2 linked regions of the Oreochromis niloticus genome follow. The protein of the gene in region 2 interacts with the protein of the main gene of each other region in a pairwise test. Links are inferred from orthologs where the notes say so. Each region holds a gene or a part of one and is shown on either strand. Other genes may lie near its edges. The genes, in order: sec13 and sec16b.

Region 1 (7,789 bases), on a different chromosome or scaffold from region 2:
AGCATCATCAAAAGAAAAGTTGATAAAATAAATAAAAAATGTTCTATTGTTCGATACATATGCGAACCGAACCGAAAGCACTGTATCGAACGGTTCATTATAGATGCGAGTATTGTTGCACCCCTAGATATGAGCCAGCCCTACTTCTTACCCTCTGAGGTCTGCCACAAGGATCTGCCCTCCGTTTCTGACGTCAAAGATCTTGACGGTGCGGTCAGAAGAACAGGTGGCGAGCCGAGTCCCGTAGTAGTCCATCTGGGCATCGTGCTGAAACAGACAGAGCAAAATGTAAAAACCTGAGTGAGAACCTCCACCTCTACCTTTCAATTTAAACAATATTTTATTATTTTATATTTTATTAATATTTTCATTCTCATGGTGATTGTTCAGTTTAAACATCATCTAACAGAAAATAAAAAGGATAAATGCTGCAACAATGATTTAGTCAAAAGAAAATACTTTATTCTCTTAAAAGGGATAGTTCGGATACTGAGGAGCTTTTGCACATCTTCTTTTGCTGGAGAATCAGCCTTAAATCTAAATAATGTGCTTTCAGTGGCTGTAGTCAGCAGCCAAAAGCAGCCGGACTGTCCTTTCCAACAGGGAAATGAAGCCATATCTATGAATGTACTGTATTCAAAACCGGCTTTGACACAAACAGTGTCGTTACCTCATTGAACATGTTGGTCTACCACTGCCCTCTTCAGTTAGTTAATGTTATTGTGTCCCTTTCATGTTTTTGAGGTGTTACTTCAGATAAACATGTGTAAAACACAAAAGTCCTACAGCAAATGTACAGGTTACAGTTTATAACCTGCACAAAAGTAAAGCTAAGTCAAGTTCAAATGTATCTGTGGCAACAGTCACAGGGTATCAGTGGCAAGTTGTTAATGATTTGTTTCTGAAATTATTATTTTAATAGCCTTTGCCAAAGATGGAGCTCAGCTCAATGTGCTTTATCATGTATGACTTAATGATCACAAACAACAGTGAAAATCACTGTTTGTGTGAATTAACACAAAACAGGTTCAGAGTGGGCTGATGATGTTCTGCTGTGTGTCGTCACCCACTGACAATCCTGGTTTTATTGTTAATTTAATCAACTCAAATGTTCTTTTATATGTAATTTAGTATAGTAGTCTGGACTTTATGAAACATAGTGACATATAAAGTCATGTGAAAAAAAGTCAGTTTAAAAAAAACTTTAAGTAGATCTTTAAAATAAACTTAGTACACCCTATTGTTTCTATGAGACGCTACATGTATCGGCCAACATCGGTTAAATGCACAAGAGAGCACAACTGAACAAGTCTGGTTTGCTTGGAAAAAGCCTCATCTCTCCCTAAAGAACATGGTAGCACTTCTGGGATAATGTTCTTTGGACAGACAAGATCAGGTGTAGAAGTCTGGTGAAAACCAAACTCAGCAAAATGGTTAAGAGGTGCCGATTTGGGCTTGCTGTGCAGCCACTGCACATGGAAACCCTGCAGTTACAAGTCGACCATAAACTCCTCTGTATACCAAAGTATTCTATTTATTATTTATTTATTTATAAAGCACATTTAATAACAACAGAGAGTTGACCAAAGTGCTGTACAACGTAATAATTAAACAGTGGCATTAACATCAACAACAGGTAAGAAAATTAAAAGAAAATTAGGATAAAAAGAATTGGTGACTCTCATGCAGTATAAAAAGCCAAAGCGAAAAAATATGTTTTAAGATGGGATTTAAAAAGACTGACAGTTGGGGCCTTTCTAATGTGGAGAGGTAGATCGTTCCACGTTTTCGATGCCACAACCACAAATGCCCAATTCCCTCTATGAACCATCCTAGACTTGTGTAAGGTAAGGAGTAAATGATCACTTGATCAAAGGCCTCTAGAGGACATATAAAGCTGCAAAAGGTCAGACAAATAGTCTGGTGCCTGACAATTTAGCACTTATTAAGTCAAAAGTAAGATTTTAAATTTAATTTTCATTTTGCACTGGAAGCCAATGAAGGGAAGCAAGCACCAGGGTAAAATGTTGGTGTCTCTTCACACGAGTCAAAAGACAGGCTGCAGCATTTTGTACAAATTGGAGCCGTGCCAAACTGGACTGACTGACACCAACATAAAGCGAATTACAGTAATCCAGTTGAAATAAGGCAAACGCATAGATTGCTCCTTCCAAGTTTTTAAAGGATAAAAATAATCTCACCTCGAATAAGAGCCTTAATTTTTTTTTTTTTTTTTAAAAGGACCGCTGAACAACTGAATAAATTTGTTTCTCAAATCTAATTTTGTTATCCAAGAAAACCCCCAGATATTTTTTATTCTAGAGTCAAATGTGAAGTCATCAGTCCGAGAGCTAAAACTGAAAGAGGGTCATGAATTAGGACAATGATCCTAAAAGAACAGTATCAGTCTCTGATGATCAGCTAGCAGTGTCAGATCGCAGCAATGTTAGTTTGTTACAACTGGGTTTAAAGACAATGGATGACACGTTACAGTGATAATACTTACTGACGTTTCATTGTACACATGTTTGTATCTCTAGTTATCACGCGTAAAAGCTCACTTACAGGTATTTAAAACAAGAAGGCTAACATCAGCTGTGATTAGCAACTAGTTTGGGTTAAATAAAAAAGGGGAAAAAAACTGGAAAACTTACAATCATGTCCTCATGAGAGGTGTCCACGGTGTTAATGACGGAAACCTGAAATGAACAAACATTATATAATCACAAATACTGCACATTAATTAAAATGTTCATTGATTTTCCTGCTACTACTAGCCACTTTGCTAAGGAGCTACTAGGACTTGGGCACGTCAGCAGCTAACGGTAACCGGGAAAATGCCACAAACGTCAGCGAGCAGCTTCACCGGTGGCCTAAATGCAAAGTTATCAAACTCACCATGACCGTGACTGACACAGAAACCCCGAACAACACGAGTAATCCTCCTTTATAAGAAAAAAGAAACCCGGCTTCACCGACTACTCCGACGTGGCAACAAGTAAGATAACCGTTTCCCACCGAGTCCCACCGCACATCATACCGGCGGAAATAACAACCAGTAAACAAGGGTTCCGCATAAGCGTCTGACGAGCTAACCTTAACCTTATTTAGAAGCTAAATATGAACACATTCTAAATAAATTAAAATCCGATCCCTCCTAGATTAGTGAAAACATTTCAAAAAGTTACATTTTCTCCTTTTGAATGGAATGGAACATACAAATACATATATATATATGTATATACATATATATATATATATATATATATATATATATATATATATATATATATATATATATATATATATATATATATATATATATATATACAGTTAAGCCCATAATTATTCATACCCCTGCCAAATTTTGGCTTAAAGTTACTTTTGTTCAACAAGCAAGTTCTTTTTTGAGCAGAAATGACACAGGTGTCTCCCCAAAGATAATAAGACGATGTACAAGAGGCATCATTGTGGAAAAAAATATTTCTCAGGTTTTATTTATATTTTAGCAAAAAGTATCATGTCCAGAATTATTCATACCCTTCTCAATAATCAATAGAAAAGTTTTTATTGGCTATTACAGCAATCAAACGCTTCCTATAATTGCAGACCCGCTTTCTGCATGTCTCCACAGGCATTTTTGCCCATTCATCTTTAGCAATGAGCTCCAAATCTTTCAGGTTGGACGGTCTTCTTGCCATCACCCTGATCTTTAGCTCCCTCCACAGATTCTGAATTGGATTCAAGTCAGGACTCTGGCTAGGCCACTGCAAAACGTTAATGTTGGTGTCTGCTAACCATTTCTTCACCATGTTTGCTGTATGTTTTGGGTCATTGTCGTGCTGAAATGTCCACTGGTTCCCAAGGCCAAGTTTTTCTGCAGACTGCCTGATGTTGTTGTTGAGAATCTTCATGTATTGCTCTTTTTTCATGGTGCTGTTTACTGTGATTAGGTTCCATGGTCCATTGGCTAAAAAACACCCCCAAAGCATTAGGTTCCCACCACCATGTTTGACAGTGGGGATGGTGTTCTGTGGGTTGAAGGCTTCTCCTTTTTTATGCCAAATGAAGGCAACATCATTGTGACCAAATAATTCAATTTTTGTTTCATCTGACCATAACACTGAAGACCAGAAACCTTCTTCTTTGTCCAGATGAGCATTTGCAAAGGCCAAACGAGCTTTGGCATGCCTTAGAAGTGCCTGGAGAAGTGGCGTTTTCCTTGGTCTGCATCCGTGGAACCCAACAGTGTCCGTTGGACTGTCTGCCTTGAGACATTGCCACCAGCAGAGCCCAGATTCACCAGAATGGCCTTGGTGGTGATCCTTGGATTCTTTTTCACCTCTCTCACTATCCTCCTGGCCAGCACAGGTTTCACTTTTGGCTTCCGACAACGTCCTCTGAGATTTTCCACAGTGCGGAACATCTTGTATTTTTTAATAATACTTTGCACTGTAGCCACTGGAACTTGAAAACATTTGGACATGGCCTTGTAGCCCATTCCTCACTTGTGAGCAGCCACAATGCACAGCTGCAGGTCCTCACTGAGTTCCTTTGTCTTAGCCATGAATGTCCACAGACCACCTGCAGAGAGCTGCTGTTTTTCACCTGTTGAGTTGAGTAAAACAGCTATTTCCAATTAATCAGGGTAATTAGGATGCTTTAGAACAGCTTTGACTATTTGGAATGGTATGGAACTTTGGATTTTCCCAGAGACTGTGACAGTTTGTAAAGGGTATGAATAATTCTGGACATGATACTTTTTGCTCAAATGTAAATAAAAGCTGAGAAATATTTTTTTCCACAATGATGCGTCTTGTACATCATCTTATTATCTTTTGTGATACGCCTGTGTCATTTCCAGTCAAAAAATAACTTGCTGGTTGAATAAAAGTAATTTTAAGTCAAAATTTGCCAGGGGTATGAATAATTATGGGCTTAACTGTATGTATAATATACAAATATCTCTTTCATTAAATATGGTCTGTTTCTTGTCCTAAGTTTGTCTTTTTTTGTCAAATGACTCTGTTTTTGAATAATAATGATAATACTACTACTACTAATAATAATAATAATAATAATTATTATTATTTTTATTATTATCGTTGCCAGGAAAGGTGAAGAACACAGTTAACCCAAACTTTTGCTGCATGTGTTAGTTATCAATAAAGTTGAGGAGAAAAAAATCTAAACGGGTACTGTAATTGTTGTTGAATTTGTTTATCAATAAAGGTGGGATCAAATTCCAAACGGTTAATACTAACCGATAACCGTCGGCGTTTTTTTCGGCAAATTAACGTAAAAATAAGACTTGAAACTCGGTTTATCGGCACATTACCGCCTCCGTATGGCCGGTCGGACTCCGTGTGTCCACACGGCGGCGCCACAAAGCTGAACCACTGTCCCCTGCCGTCTATTTTTGTCCGGGCACGCCGAGTGTCGGGTTCCATCGGGCCGTCAGCTCTCCTCTCTGCCCCCCCTAGCCTCGCCATGTTGTCGGCTTAAATCTGGTGGCAAGTTTTCTGAGTTTACCGTAGAAAAAAAACTTTTTCTCAGCCTGAGTGACTAAACAGTGGAAAGATGTCGAGTGTGTCCTACCACATCTCCAACCTGTTGGAGAAAATGACCTCCACTGACAAAGACTTCAGGTAAGAAACAGTGAGCAGTTCTCACAGTGAGATGACACTTTTTTAAAACCACGACTTGTGTGTGCCATTTTACCACACAGGAGACAATAGTGCCCTCTATACAGTCTTAATTACTTTTATTTAATCGACACATCATTTATTAGTTTTCTCTACCTGAAAACAAAAATCAATTTTAACAAATTTACCTAACCAAGGTTACGTTTTCATAAAAAACTCCAAATGTTATATTAATATTATTGACTAATTTAATCATTATCAAAATATGTTTGTAAATATCTGTCTAACCCTAACCCTGTGTCGGCTGTGATTTTTTTAAAGCATCAAATACTCAATTTCAGAAATTGGAAGTAGGGATTTTTTGCTAACATGATAAATTCATGATCTAAATTGTTTTATATTTTGAGAAAGTGAGTCGTTGTTGTCCAGGTAGATAGCAGTAGGTTCAAGAATGTTGGAGATTTTTGTTATTGTTTTATTTTGTCTTAAAAATCTTTTAATACATTGCAAAATATCTTTGGAGATGTTTTTAACACAACACATATTGGGTTTACTGTCATGTGTGACCAAGGAAAGTATATTCTGCAACTGTTTTACATGTTTTGATAACTCTTTGAGTGTTATTAACACATCTATAAGCCAACAACAACACAAGTATAGATTTGAATTACTTAATATACCAACCTCTACCTTTCTCCTTGTTGTCATTGAATTGATGAGTTAAATATTTATTGGACAAGTAATGTGCACATCTTTACTGAAAGACCACAATTGTAACAGAAGTGGCGAAAAAAGCATCTAATTAAATGTTACAATTGAAAATCTGGATTAATAATTAAAGAATAAATAGACATCTAAACAAATCGATACACTTAATTCATTATTTGACCCTTTTTTGAGGCAGTAATGAAAAGAAGGATCACTGAAGGGATTCACAGATCAGTTTATTAACTTTGGTCTCTATGTGTGTGTGTGTGTGTGCGTGCAGGTTCATGGCCACCAATGACCTGATGCTGGAGCTGCAGAAGGACAGCATTAAGCTGGACGAGGACAGCGAGAGAAGAGTTGTGACCATGCTGCTCAAACTGCTGGAAGACAAGAATGGGGAGGTGCAGAACCTGGCTGTGAAATGGTAAAAATCACACTCGTACGCACAGTGTGAACCGGTTTAGTTCATGTAAACTGTATTTTATTTATCCAGATTTATTTTTGGATTCCTACAAAGGTGCTCTTTGTAACTATCCTCTGTGGAAGGGTTAGCTAAGTTTAACCACCAGAGGGCTGCATTTTTACCTAACCCTTGAGTTATAGACTATTTTAAGTTTTGCTGTATCATCTACTCCCATTTACTTGAGAGTCTGTTTCTGGTGACTTTTGTCTGTTGAATAAAGGTAATGGAAAGTCACAACATTATATCAAAGTTCAGCGTGGGGAGCCTCCCACTATTACCAAAGTGCTTGATCATAGGGGGTCATGTGATTGTTGGGTTTTTCTCTGTATGTATTATTGTAGGGTCTACCTTACACTATAAAGCACCTTGAGGTGACTGTTGTTGTGATTTGGCGCTGTATAAATAAAATAGAATTGAACTGAATTGAAGTTGAATTAAATAAAGATAAGAGTGGTAATGCACTAAAATGAGAGTGGTACCTTCATTTATGCTGGACTGGAAGTATTGATGGTGTCTGTGTAGCAGGCTGTGTGTGTTAGGTAGCCACCTATTTGTGTTTGCAGTTAAGTGCATGGTTAGATACTACAGGTCATATTTCTATTACATAATTATTTAAATCAATAGTGGTTTGATACAAAATTACGACATTTTTTAACATGGTGTGTTTGTTTTTAAGCCTGGCGCCTCTGGTGAGCAAAGTGAAGGAGCCCCAGGTGGAGACGATGGTGGACGTGCTGTGTTCAAACATGACGTCAGACAAAGAGCAGCTGAGGGACATTTCCAGCATGGGACTGAAGACTGTGATCGCTGAGCTGCCACTCACATCCTCAGGTGAGCGCTCACTGTCCTCCCACCTGTCTCCTCGTCGCAATGATCAGCTTTTATTGGTGGATTTCCATTTTAGCAGCAACTTCGAGAGTATGAAGGGCAATAATAAATAATAAAGGGCATAGAAGCAAAGTTTACATTTTAG
Region 2 (7,931 bases):
AAAATTGTGCAGCAAAGACTTCATTAAATCAATATTCACCAATTAATAACCCTAACTACTCTGTGACATAAATGCTTTCAAACTCACAGAGTTTTTAGGTTTCCAAGAAACCATTATACATACTGATGTGTGTTACATGTTTCAGGGGAATACAAAGCAACAACAGAAAAAAATAATGTATTCTGTATGTATTTATTGATTTTATTTGTTATGGACCCGTGTGTTTCTTTAATAAAGTGAAACTAAACTAAACAAATGAAAATGCATGAAATAATAATATTAATGGCTTAATTATCCCTGACATGAGCAAAATAATTACTATTGTTCTGTCCTAGTTTGAGGTGTTAGCCTTATATAAGTATTTGAAGACAGATGGCTCTGAAGTGGCTCATATATATTCCCAAAAGAAATACCTCTAAACTTTACAATGACAGGATTCTTACAAGGTGAAAGTCGAGGGGATTTTGTGAAATCCTTTCCAACAGACCCAAATCCATCCTGTTAGTCTGACTATAGTATACCTTTAGGACCCTTAAGGTCCATGAGAGTGCTATAATTTTCATAAGGTAAAAGATTAGTAGTATCCTCCATGAAAATCTGTTGCTTTTTTTAAACAACTTGACTGTGAACCTACCTCCAGACTGTGGATTTCCAGGTGGCTGACATTCTCCTGTGCTGACAAGCCTGTAGTGACCCGAATCAGTTGACCCGCAGGCCCAAAACTGACAACAGCATGAGGGATTGAGTACTTCAGAGGAGCTGGCATCTGATGCACATGTGCTCGGTCTGAGGAAATACAAAGCTTTAAAAAAAAAAAGCAGAGACGATGTGGACGTGAGAGGAACTGCGTGCTCACCTCCATCAGGTTGAGGGGCAGCGTCGCTGTGTTCGGCTCCATTCATGTACTGACTCAGCTCATAGCTGCTGGAAGATAACCCTGAGTTTTTGGAGCTTTCTAATGTCCCAAGGTAAAAAGAGGAAATCTCTTCATTGTCTCTGGAGGGATTGTCCTCAGAGTCATTGAGGTAATGCTGAGAGCTGTCTCTCACCTGGTTGTACCTGAAAGAAATGCATTTTCATGTACATTGCTTCCTTCTTTACTGCAAGAACACATAGCAGTTAAGTCTATGCTGTATTCGTGTAACTTTCTTGCTCACAGAATTTGCAGTGATTATTAGACAGACTGTAATGCAGGAAGTATGTTTGTTTTTTAATAAATATTTAGGCATTAATCGTTTATACTTGCCTGTTTGTTGAATTCTTGTGTACACATTCTCCTCTAGCTTATTTCTACACCCACAATATTGATCAAGAGTGACCATCTATCACCACAACATATTATACTGAAACCTGTAATATCCAACCCCAACATTATAGGTTTTCTTTTGCTTTTTATTATTTTGGGTTTTTTTTGTTTTTATTAAACCCTTCATACAAACTATGTAGTGCTAGAGAACCGTTTAACCTGTCAACATTTCTGGATGTACCTCTCTCTTTTGTGCAGGTATCATTTTCACAGTAACATCAGATAGCAAAGGCATTGGCTTTGATAGAAGTAGAGTGCACTGACCCACCTGTACTCCTCAGTGTTCACGCTTCCTAGTTGTTCTTGGTTGTGTGCCCTGTCATGGTACCGATCTGCTCTCCGTGGTTCTTGAGGACCCCACTGGCCACCATCTTAAAAAACAGCGTTACACATCATCCCATTTCTCTTATACAGAGCGTAGAAGATGACTTTAAAAAAAAAAGCTTGGCTGTTTTGTATCACTACACCTTGTCGTCCATGCTGCCCTCTGTAGTAGTCATAATAACCATAGCTGTCTCTGTAGTCCCAGTGGCTGTAAGGTGGATAGTCATAACCATGCCTGAAAATAAAGGAAAATCTTAATGAAGTTATTACATTTGTGTAATTCCATCATCTGTGATGCACTGCATATCCCAGCATGCACTGTTAGCAAGGACAGAAACCTACACTCAGCTCAGTGTTGGAACCAGGCCTCTTTTACCAACTGTTGTGCAACCTTTATCCCACATTGCATTCATAAAACACACTAATAATACCCAAATAATAACTCCAGTTTCGTAGCCAGTTGGGGTCACTTGCAACTGTACAAACCTGGACAGAGGTCTTTGGTGCTCAGGTCCATACCCATACTGATACTGCTGACTGGTGTATGGATAAAAGTCAGGTCTAGGCAGAGGGAAATGAGCATTGTAATGGGCATCAGGATGGCCCCAGTGCCTGTCCCTCTCTCTGAGGTCCGGAGGTGGATAGAGCTGGTCCCTTTCCTGCTGAGAGTAGCTGGTGTATCCCTCTCTGTCTTTTGTTCTGTGGGAATGACGGCCTGAGTCCAGCCAGTAGTGACCTCTGTGATCCATGATGACCCTTTAACACCTGCGGTAAAAAAAAAAATGGGAAATGTCTGCAATCATTAATTCGCAGTGTAAAGTAAAATCAGCAGAAAGAAAGTTGCAAACGTTTGTTATACTTACAGCTCACACATCCCAGCCGCAGTCAAAGTACATCCACAAATGCCACATCACTCCATGGGAAACTCACAACATGAGCTGATAACAAGAGGATAAAGTTCACAAAATACTGTGACTCATAAAAAATGTTGTCTCGGTGCTCTGGAGGTGAAATCGGAGTAAATCCAAGTGCGAGGAATATATACACACACATATATATGCATAGGATAATTACATATTAAACGGATTAAAAATCACACATAAGTGCACATTCCTTGAGCTCCGTTGTGTTTGCATTGTGTATCTCAGTGATCTGAAGGTAAACAGTGGAGCACGCCCTGAAGAGTTTGACAGCTGCAGTTCCAGGGCGCTGTAAAAGAGGAAATCACGTCCATCCTCGGGATAATCGCAACAAAAACTATACTGACCTTCTGGTCTACGTCAGCACAACATGACAAACCGTGCCTTCGACTGTAGGTTGCATGTGCAGAAAAAAGCGCAACTTTGAAATGTTAGATCTTGCCACGTTGCCGGTAGGCAGGATGCAGATGACGGTCAGCTGGTCTCCGATCAGATTTAGTTTTCGAGACAGCGAAAGCGTCACAGCCCAACGTTTTTTCAGAGTTTTAAAAAAGTACGCCTTACTTACCAGCAAAGGCGCTATATCCCACATTTCCTTTCACTCGAGTCATATATTTACATCTTCTATCACATGGTGCTGCAGATGTGTAGGCTGCACATCCATGACGTGAATCTTGCGCTCTATCACATCCGATCTGTTTGATTGAGATCTGGTGACTGTGGTGGTCATTTAAGTGCGGTGAACTTACTGTCATGTTCAAGAAAACATTGTAAGATTTTTGGACATTTTAATATTGAAGCCAGAAACTACTTTGCACCGTAAAACGAAATCACTAAATGTTAATGTTTTGAATCTGTATTTGTAAAATCACATAAATGCATTTGGGGTCTATTTGTTAAAATGAATATTTACTGGGGATTTTTTTTTTTTTTTTTGGCAAATTTTCATAGAAGCTATGACATGTTACTTTCTTACACTGTGTGGAAGTGAAATAAAATGTTGCTGTAATTCCGAAAATGCCTCGTGATTACTGACGAATTGGTTTTAGTATATTTCCAGAAACTAGTTCTGATTATTCTCATATTAGTCATTGTTCAGTTATGGCCACGGGATGTCGCTTTCTTCTAAGAACAGGTTCAATGTGAATCATGTGACCAGTCATCCACAACTGGGTAGGCTTTATGCAAATGAGTTCTGCGTACACAGGATTTTTACTACTGGAACCCGGACGCTCAGAGCACAGCGAGAGTCTCACTAGACAACAGAGGACGCACAGATTCCGCTCTGGATATTATACCAAGACCCGGTTGGATGTGCAATATGACTTTTGAAGATACCAGTGGAGATAATTCAACAGAAAGGTTAGCTTTGCGTTGAACTCTGCATTTTCCTTTAATTTAATTCTGTTTTTAATACGAATTTAGAAACTTTTTGTTAGAATTATTGGTTTGCAGATATAATTGCACACTGCCCGTTGTGACCGACATTCAGCCCTATTATATTGAGCCCTCTCGCGGTTCTTGCATTTGTATCACACATGCAACGTTACATGAGCTGGCATTCATATATCACGTGAACGGCGGTAGCTGGAAAATTGGGTCATCAAAGCTTAAACTAACAGCCTCACTGATCATGCGTGTTCTGATAAACTTTTGTTTCTTTAGAATGGACTCGGTGGCTACAGCGTTAGAGGAGGTCCTGAGCTCTGCGTTGCCTCAGGGTTGCATCACTGTCGGAGTTTATGAAGCAGCGAAGTCACTTAATGTGTAAGTTAATAGTAAGCTCGCTACTGCCGCACTAGAAAAACTAGCTGGGATGAGCATGAAGTAGTAATGTTTGCTTTACTTTTTCCTCATTGCTTTTAGGGATCCAGACAATGTGGTGTTGTGTCTACTGGCCACAGATGATGAGGAGGATGTGGCTCTGCAGATTCACTTTACCTTGATACAGGCTTTCTGCTGCGAGAATGACATCAACATCCTGCGTGTGAGCAACATGAGGCGTCTGGCAGAGATACTCGGCGGAGTGAAGCCTGGAGGAGAGCCAATGGACTTACACTGTGTTCTAGTTACTGTAAGTACTATTACTCACGTCCGTTTAGTTTAAACCTTGGGAATATTGCTCATTTCCCTTTGAGCAATCAAATGTACCTGGGGTTTATTGCTTCTCGTTTCTGCTGTCAGCACTTAGAGGGAGTTGGCATCAGTTATGCAATCTGAATTATTATTTGCACGTTTCGTAAATGAACAGATGGTAACCGCTTTGCCCTTTCCTGTGCAGAATCCTCAGTCATCCCCGTGGAAGGACCCTGCACTGAGCAAGTTGAACAGATTCTGCAGAGACTGCCGGTGTTTGGATCAGTGGGTGCCTGTTATCAACCTTCCTGACCGATGAAGCTGCTTGGAATATTAATGTATTGTGTGCATTGGGGAAAAAGTAACTGCCTAAGGCCTGTGTTAATGTCTGTGTTGGACTTGATTGGAAAGCGCCCCAGAGAGAGAGAGGTGGAGAGAGAGCGACTGGAGAGTTAGGGGAAGGAAGGGGAAAAAAAGAGCGTTCCAACAAATTTACCAGGTCAGGGTGAACTTGTGGGCCAAGGAAGAGTGACTCAGCTGTCTGGGTTCCCGGATTTTCTAACGTATGACTGCGCCTTTCTCTGCCGAGAAAGAATCCTTTTCGAGGAAACGGAATCATGTGAGCATGGAGCACACGTGGTGCCGAGCACAGGCGCATGGACTGGGGAAAAGCCGACAGAGTGTCTCAGCTGACAAGACTCCAGGAACTGGACCACACCAGAGTGGATCAGTCATCTGTCAGCTTGAGAAACTTCTCATGAAAATTTGACCAAATTGACTCAGCATTTCTTCAAGAGAACATTTAATTAATCTTATTTAAAAACTTGTCACTTTGATAACTCTGATAACTCAAAAGGGAAAGTTTTCACAGTTGATTATCATTATTATTATCATTATTATTATCATTATTATTATTATTATTATTATTATTATGGACAATACAATGTTTGTCCGGTAACTTGTTGTTATGTTATTAATTTAATGAGTTATATTTATTGTGCATAGTTGAAAAGATTGTGCCTTGAAAAGCTGAATAAAATAACATTTAAAAAACAGTTCTCGGATGGGTTTTGCTTTGCCTTGTCAGTAACTACTCCATCAGTGTACTTTTAGAAAATCATGCATGAATTTCCCGACATTCGGAGTTGGAGTTTGTTGTGGCATGTCACAAGGGAGGTGACACGTTTAATTATTTACTTGGCATATGCTTTCGCTTTTAAGGAGCCTGTGTCTTTTGCATTTCAGCATAGAGCCAACCTGTTTAGGAGGGTGTACAAGAAAGACTGAAGTGGAGTAGCTAGCATGTTTTTGGTAATCCACATGGTCTGAGAAGGAACTAGAGTTGTGCACCTCATCTGGGCTTTGTCTCCCAGCTTGAGAAAAAAAAAATCTAGCCTGTGGCAGAAAACTGGGCAATTACAAGTCTTTTCAGACCAGATCAGCTGGCTTTGAAATATGCTGCAGGCATGAGGTTTCTTGAAATAGTTTACTCCTGCATGGGAACCCTAGTAAATATTGACCTTTTGCACATCTTTGAGATCTTATTACACAAAGGGGTGGAGAATTCCCATTGTAGTTGAATCTAAGTGGGATTGGGCTCATTGTGACAGCTCCTTCTTCACACCCCTCTGCATTTACGCAATCACTGCTAAATTTACTGCTGAGAGAATTAAAAATAGCAGTGAGGCATGAAAAAAAAAAAACTGTTGAAGACCCCTTTCAGGCTGTAAAACGAGAAAACCAGAACTTATTGGTGCTTGCACAGAGTGAGAAAGGACAAAGGTTTCCACACAGAGGGTCACGAGACAAAGGATGCATGAGTCAGGGCTATTCAGGTCTATTGCTAGAGCTGTACAGTACTTTAGCTTTATGCCTAAAAATAGCCACATGAATAGAGGCATACCCTCTGACCACCGACAATAATAGTTCTTGTAATTAACATGCAGTGTACGCACAGAGACTGACCCGATGAAGAGATGTCAGTTTGCAGGCAGGGATATCACAAAGACAACATTCCTCTCAAGTGGAGGGATAACAGATGGGGAGGGAAAACTGGGTCAAAAAGGGACTGGAAGACTGAGGAGGAATGTGGGGTATGACAGAAGCTGCATGGTTTGTGGTTGTGTTAAACTGACTGCAATAAACAAGAAAAGTTTGCAAATCTGATAAACTGTATAGAGGTCTGTACATGTAGATAACGTCAACCATAGAATTTTTAGATCTGAAGGGGTTTTTTAGGTTGTGAAACAATATCAGAAATAGTAGAGTCTGATCTGTATGACATGACACCTCCTGAAAATCGGTTTGATCGCTGAAAGGCCTTCCTGACACTGAGGGAGGAGCTTCTAAAAGTAGGTGAGATACTGGAGATAGTGGATTATTGGCTTATCCCAGGGCTTCTTCATTACCAGGTAACACTATCACTGCAAATGATGCTGCTACAAAAGCCAGCCATGTAAGTCATCTGACTCGAGTGGAGATTACATGAATGTGGGCCAACAAATATGGCCTGACCTGATTTTGGATGTAACATCACACCTGAGAAGACTGAGACAGGAGATAAAAGGGTGCTCACCGAAGTAGGGATTATTGCATAACATGGTACTCATGGCTTACGGGCATGTAAACAACTTTGCTGAGAAATTGGAACAAATTAGAACAATCAAAAATGTTTGTGCCTGTGACCCGATTCACTCACCCACTTGTCTAAACACTGTGACTTGTGATTCAGACAAAGGAGTAATATTCATGCTGTTACAATAAGACATTTTCTATATAATTACAGTGGTGGGCGTGCATATAAAACAAGGTCAAACTCTCAATTAATGAGGTCAGCAACCCCTCATAGCCAAAAGCTCAAGCTCCAAATTGCTTTAAATGCTCGATATCAGGACATTTTTCTACTCTCAGCTCTACATAATGTCAGTGAGAGTGGATATCCCTACTATGAATTTTTTAATGTCAGGAACACAGCTACAGCTACAACCACAGCTGTTCAAACCCTTCTGTTTACAAGGGGCAGCCAATCAGAAGATAGCTTGCTTAAAGGTAGGACAGTTTGTTTTAGATGTTGGATTCACTTAAGATCTGCACCAAGGCTCAGTCTAAGAAAAATAAGGATCATCATGAACTTTAAATGATGAAAACCTACTATTGTAAGGTCCAATATCAAACATATGGAGCCGAAAAATGAACACAGTAGACCCTCCATTTGATTATATAAATGATGATTTATGCAATGAAAATGTCTAAAACAGGCTTATGTAAATTTAGTTGAATAATTTAACTTGTTTTCCATATTTATT

Evidence for each region.
Region 1: the proteins of sec16b (region 2) and sec13 interact in binary tests that used the Homo sapiens proteins (3 or more experiments, as listed by UniProt). The two-hybrid records come from large-scale screens. The link is inferred for Oreochromis niloticus from reciprocal best matches to the Homo sapiens genes SEC16B and SEC13.

Annotation. Positions count from the first base shown.
Region 1 is NC_031970.2:4,864,165-4,871,953, reverse strand, and holds the start of sec13 (protein SEC13 homolog), read right to left. Parts: upstream 3,115-7,789; 5' UTR 2,902-3,114; coding exon 2,899-2,901; intron 2,700-2,898; coding exon 2,655-2,699; intron 268-2,654; coding exon 152-267; intron 1-151. Other genes in the region: cand2 (cullin-associated NEDD8-dissociated protein 2), read left to right, coding at 5,581-5,648, 6,634-6,777, 7,493-7,647. UniProt on the Homo sapiens protein: Functions as a component of the nuclear pore complex (NPC) and the COPII coat. At the endoplasmic reticulum, SEC13 is involved in the biogenesis of COPII-coated vesicles.
Region 2 is NC_031986.2:31,135,571-31,143,501, forward strand, and holds the start of sec16b (protein transport protein Sec16B), read right to left. Parts: upstream 3,047-7,931; 5' UTR 2,494-3,046; intron 2,424-2,493; exon of another isoform or gene 2,396-2,423; 5' UTR 2,380-2,395; coding exon 2,117-2,379; intron 1,866-2,116; coding exon 1,774-1,865; intron 1,678-1,773; coding exon 1,575-1,677; intron 1,060-1,574; coding exon 857-1,059; intron 787-856; coding exon 635-786; intron 1-634. Other genes in the region: gadd45ab (growth arrest and DNA-damage-inducible, alpha, b), read left to right, coding at 3,863-3,912, 4,216-4,317, 4,417-4,624, 4,832-4,945. UniProt on the Homo sapiens protein: Plays a role in the organization of the endoplasmic reticulum exit sites (ERES), also known as transitional endoplasmic reticulum (tER). Required for secretory cargo traffic from the endoplasmic reticulum to the Golgi apparatus.